Linked DNA regions of Drosophila melanogaster. The protein of the gene in region 1 interacts with the protein of each later gene in a pairwise test. Each region holds a gene or a part of one and is shown in the gene's direction. Other genes may lie near its edges.

Region 1 (2,790 bases):
GCATGGGGCACGGAATTTGTGTACAGTAAACTAAAGTAAAATAAAGTCGCGTGCCTACACTGCAATAACAATTACTTTGCCCCAAGGCGGACTCAGAAGTTAGCCCCTGCAATGACTAAATCAATGCAATAATATTAATTGAGCTTTAAATGCCAAAAAGTTAGTCAGCCGTTAAAATCATTCTAGAATGGATTGTTAGCTTATTTACCCGAACAATCAGTGCTTAAACCCTTAAAAAGAGCAATTAAATATTGGTAACCTATTTCAAAATCGATTTATGGCCAGAAAATAGTTCGCTGATCATAAAAAATTTATAGATACTAAATACTAAACTTATGTTTACCAATTTTAGACAGTATTGGTTTTGGCCAAGAAATTTCGAGCAAATGATTTCAAATATTCAAATGAGATTTAGTTTAAATTTAAAAGTCTTTAAAATCCATCCATTTTCTAAAAGAATTTTAAGACTCCGTGACGTCAGCATTGCCGTGACTTTCAGTCGCAAATTCCAGAGCACTGGAATTTTTCGCAGTGCCTTAAATAAACAATTAGCCTCTGCAGTTTTGCCTTGTTTTCGCTGCCCGCTGCTCCGCCAAAAATAGGAAGGCAATTCTCGTATTGTGGCGGGGCAACGCCCAAGAATAAATATAATCAAAGGCTGTCAGCATTGGCAAACAATAAAAAATGCAAAAAAAGCCAAACGAATTGGTGGACTACATTTCCATGTTTGGGGCATTTGGCTTAAACCCCCGGCGAATTTCAAGTCTCAACTTGAAATCGTCATGGACATGCAGATCAAAAAGCTGGCCACGTTTTTTTTTTTTCCAAAGACTTGGGTCAGAGTGTCAAACTGGCCAAATGTGAGACTGAAACCACTTAGACGACAGCTGCAGCGAAAAATATATGCGATCGATCCATTAATCACACCCAATATGATTATGCATAGGGCCCGCAACGGGTCTTGGGTGGAATGTCATACTCGTCTAACTGGCGCAATTAGATCAGCTATGCGAATAAAAAAACAAGAGCAATTTTCATTTGAAGAACGGGCCCTTCACCTCGACTCCATTAGAGCTTCATTAGCAAAGCGGCTGGCCTAAAACATGCATTATGGCCAACCAATTCCATTGAACTGATGACGAAAGACCCAGCGTTTTATTGCACATTTTGAGATTTTCATTTCGATGACCGGCAAACACAATGCTGGCCAATTTTTTTAGGGCGTGCTCCGTCTTTCTATTCTACTTTTTAGCCATTGTTTCGCTTTGGCAAGTGGGCGGGGCGCTCTAGTAATAACCATCTTGTCGGTTTGGTAATGATCGGTCAGTTTATCGCCCGCAAATCGAATAATTGGCGCAGGTTGTTTTCAACCACGCCGCAATTATGCAAATTTTCCAAACACATTTACCAGGCACTGCATCTGAATACAAAATGAACCAGCTCTTAAAAAAAAAATAAAATAAAATTGTATCAAATTTTGTGAATTTTTTGGCAAGGACATAAATCGTGCAGTGTGTGGTAGCCTTTTAACATGTCTAAAATCTAATAGCTAGGAACCCTTTGCTGAAAAGTCAAATCATTTTTGACAGCACTCCGTTTAATAACTTTGTACGAGAACGTAAAATTGTCGAATTTTTAGAAACTTGCATTTCTTGTTTTATTTTTCTACCAACAAAATGAGTCAATTGATTGCCAAGGCAAAGACCCTAGTAAACAGTAAGATGCGCACTTCTAGTCTGGCCAAAATGTAATTTTATGGTATTACGCAGAAATGATTGTGGCAGCACGTCCGCAGCTCGATGAATTCTGGAAGTATGCCAAGGTGGAGCTATCACCGCCGCTGCCCGCTGATTTCCAAAAGCTGAAGCAGACCGCTGAGTCCGCCAAGTTGGCCTCCAAAAAGGATATGAAGGGGCAGCTAAAGAAGTCCGGACTTTCCCAAGTGACAGTCGCTGAGGCCTGGCTAAATGTTCTGGTCACCGTGGAGGTGATTACCTGGTTCTACATGGGCGAGGTTATCGGTCGTCGTCACCTGGTCGGCTACAAGGTTTAGACATAGCAGATTTAATATTCTCCTTATGTTTTTGTGTTGTATGCAAATGGCCCAGTGCATTTAAGCCCTTTTTCTGTGGCCAGGTGCACTGAATAAAGGTGCATTATCAAGCATTACAATCATGGGCGTAGCTGTTTATATTGTTTTTTCCCTAGAAATTCGCTTTATGTTCTCGTCCGTCGTAAACGTCATATATAGCTCAATTTATATTCTGTATGATATTCATTTTAGAAAGTTTAATGGTCTAAGTGGTAAGATATCGAATATTTCATAACTTTTGCATTTGGCAAGTAAAGTTGTTTAGTGCTTCCTAATATATTTGCATACATAAATTCCCAGTGACCAGGTGCGCAACATGTGAACTCCCACTCCGTCATTTAACAGTGCCCCGCCTCAAATTCCGGATACCCAATGGCCCGGCATGAGCAACGTGCTCATGGCAGATCTGAGTCTCGCTAAGCTGGCATTGATCTTGGACATGGAGTTCTCATATTCCGCTGCGAGGCGAGTGCGCAGGCGTCCGAGCGGCAAAGCGTTGGGTTCCTAAGGCGGCACGACAGCGGACACGGGCGGCAGTCCGGTCAAGTGGCATAAATCAGATTGACGCCGTGGCAGTTGCACAAGCCAAACAATGGCAACCAACGTGTGCCCCAAGTTGAATGTATGTAACTGTATTACAAATAACTTTAAATAATACAATAGTATGAACAAAAGACAACCTTCCAAAAGTACTTTAA
Region 2 (3,074 bases), 5.4 Mb from region 1:
AATATATTGTTTAAAACTATAACATCTGTTTTAATTGACTTCTCTTGGCTTCTCTTTGAAAAGTTTATAAATCTCTTTGAGCCAAAACAGCTCTTTGGTATAGCTCTTAGCCAAAAGTCGTAAGACGAAAAATAGAAGAAAATCGGGCATAAAGTAGAGACCAATTTAATTTGTTTGTTTTACTAATCAGCGGCACGTACTCGCACGTTTTTTGCGTCAAAGTCTTTAGTGCGGTCTTTAGCTGAATTCTGTTCGCCGATATTGGAGCTCTTTTTGTTGCCATCGCTGCTATTGGACGGTACGCTTTTGACCAGGTCGGGCGTATCGGCTGCCGTTTGGCTAAACAGCCCACGTTTAAACATGGCTCAGAGCGTGCTAATCAAGTGGCTACGAAAACAAAATTACGCGACCGACTGAGCAAAAGCCAGCTTTGACTTTGTCTCGTTTTTCATATATTTGTGGTTACCTTTCCAGGGGGTTCTTCGATTTTTGAAAGAGGTTTGTAACACTGAAAAATATACCCACAAGCTTAAGGTATATATGAAGAAAATTTAAACGATTAGATGTCATTTTTGGTCATAATTAAAATCGAGTTATTTTTACAACTTCAGTATTATCAATGATATTGATCATTGAAGCTTCGAAAAGGGTATTTAGACATTGGCTGAAAAATATTTATTTTCCTCCTCTTTTTTTTGATTGACTTTGGTTTTTATGTTATTTGGTCGCGTTGCGTTGAAGTTGGTTTTGGCTTTGGACTCCGGTGAAGCCAGGGGATTTGGGGCTAGGGCTGGGCCGTCGTTTGGGTACGCTTTGATGGCTTCTAGGTGAAGGTCATTGTGTGACTGAAATGTTAATTTGACTGACTGTCGTACTTTTATGCCGGAGTGCCTGGGCTATTTCAGTTGTATCTTTTTAATGGCACTTGCTAAGGTTCTATACACCTAGAAGTGGGTATTCATGTCGGCTTAAAAACCACTAAACAAAACTCAAAACCAACTTTGATTTGTTGCGCCGCTGGTATGCGGCGATTTTTAAATGACTGACATTTGCTAGCAAGTCGACATAATATACAAAAGCATCAGAAAAAGTTTGAAATTTTTTAAAATATACATTAATTATAGAATTGAAGTTGAGGATATTAAAATAATTAAAAACATATTTGTGGTTATTATTTCAGTTGCCAGCAGAGTTTTTATATTATATAAAGAATTTTCTGAAACGTTTTAGAAATGACTAAAAACGATCCGTGTAACAGCTTACTTTGATTTCAATGGCGCAGTCTTAGACTCCAATGATGGCGATGCAAATGAGCGACATATTTGCAGACAAGTCCACCAGCAATTCGGTGAATGGGCGGGCGTCTGCTTCCCCGGAGGATAATGAGCTGCAGCCCCCGTGAATCGAGTCTGGTGGCCCATCTAATGGTGTTGTTCGCATGGTGGTTAGATGGTTGAATGCTGCAGCTACAGCAGCAACGATTCAGCACCGTTTTGCTGATGCGGCACACTCCAATGCCATAAAAGGGCATTAGCCTCGTGAGTAGATTGCATGTTTTTACCACAGGTTTTCGTGGATGGGCTCCCGTCTTTTGGGGTGGCAAAGTGAGGTTGTACTGGCAGCTGAGTGCGCGCGCTTTGGAAAATTGAATAAAGTGCCGGAGGAGCCAACGAAGGATTGAGGCAACGAAGCGGAGTAAAGTGCTCGATGCTGGCAGCCAAGTCATTTAAGGGTTGCCGGCAGCACTCACATCGGCCTACAAGGAAAGATGAAATACAGTCGCTTTGCTAAGTTTATAATCCCTTATTTAGAGTACATTTTCTGACTACCCAGCTAACTAACACAACTCTAGTAACTGACAGATGATTGGCATGGCCGAGAATTTTCTCAACAGACATAGCAATTATTTGGAATTAATCATAGACTTATTTGCATGACTGTTGATCCGCAAGTGGCAACGTGTCGTATGCGCAATGCTTGCTCTTGCTGGGTCTGCGATGATTCAGAGGGGACTCTAGTACCGCCCAACGCATAAATATGAATGAGGAAATCGAAGCAGCTTGCCACTTGGGCTTAGCCCAGACTGGATTTTCCAGAATTCCATTGAACTTATTACTGACCGACACGATCCATATAAAAACGAAAGAAATTGCATCTGGCTATGCAGTTGCCGGCGGTGCATTGATCAGCATGATGAGCCGCATCATATCATTGCTTCTCCTATTCGGAATCATTTGTGCTGCTCTAATTGCCGGCCATCCGCACGACCTTATTGAAGATCCGGAAGGTACCAATGATGCTTTGGAGGAATCTGGCAGTGGATACAACAGTGCCGAAGAGTTCATGAATGCAATGGACGAGCTGATCAGACGCTGGCAGGAGAACGATGCAGCTCATGAGAACTCAACTGACTATCCAAGTCTTGATGACGATGAGACGACTTTGGATTTTATGGATATTACCACCGAACCGGCTACTTAATATGGAATTATTTAGTAGTGCTGTAATGCTAAGTCATGCTATCCTATTGTCTGTAAATAATCTAGTTCTTCAATAATAATTATTAAGGGAAATAAAAGAAAGTTTTTAGAAATTTTAAAATGAAATCAATCAAGAGAGAATCAAGAGATCTTCATTTTTTGATAATGAATGTTGCCTACTCCGCAATTTCGATTTTAAGTACGCATTAAATACTAGTCATAGATTGAATTTAATAGCTCGTTTAGTATATCAATTAAGCTTGTGGTAAGCTGTGTTGCTGTTAAGCTGGAATTTCCCGCACTCACCTCTGTCTAAAAGTATACATATCACCTTTAAACCAACCACTTAGAACTGCTGATAACCCAGGGCAAGGCTATAAAAGCCCAGCTCAAGAGCCGACTGACATTCAGTCAACTGTAGCCAGAGCTAATCGAAAGAAAAATGCAATCCATTCTCCGACTGCTGGTGCTGTTTGGATTAATCTATACCGCGATCGGTGCATCGGGTATATTTCAGAATATAAACCTCGGTGGCGAAGGAGGAAGAACACGATCTTCAGGTGGCAACTTGGACTGGAGCGATAGTGTTCACAG

What was found. The genes of interacting proteins can lie anywhere in the genome.
Region 2: the proteins of ATPsynGL (region 1) and CG16978 interact in a two-hybrid assay, tested with the Drosophila melanogaster proteins (one large-scale study listed by BioGRID).

What each region holds. Positions count from the first base shown.
Region 1 is NT_033779.5:7,745,705-7,748,494, forward strand, and holds ATPsynGL (ATP synthase, subunit G-like), read left to right. Parts: upstream 1-1,570; 5' UTR 1,571-1,676; coding exon 1,677-1,716; intron 1,717-1,769; coding exon 1,770-2,053; 3' UTR 2,054-2,170; downstream 2,171-2,790.
Region 2 is NT_033779.5:13,142,714-13,145,787, reverse strand, and holds CG16978 (uncharacterized protein), read left to right. Parts: upstream 1-2,165; 5' UTR 2,166-2,190; coding exon 2,191-2,481; 3' UTR 2,482-2,574; downstream 2,575-3,074. Other genes in the region: CG9928 (uncharacterized protein), read left to right, coding at 2,923-3,074.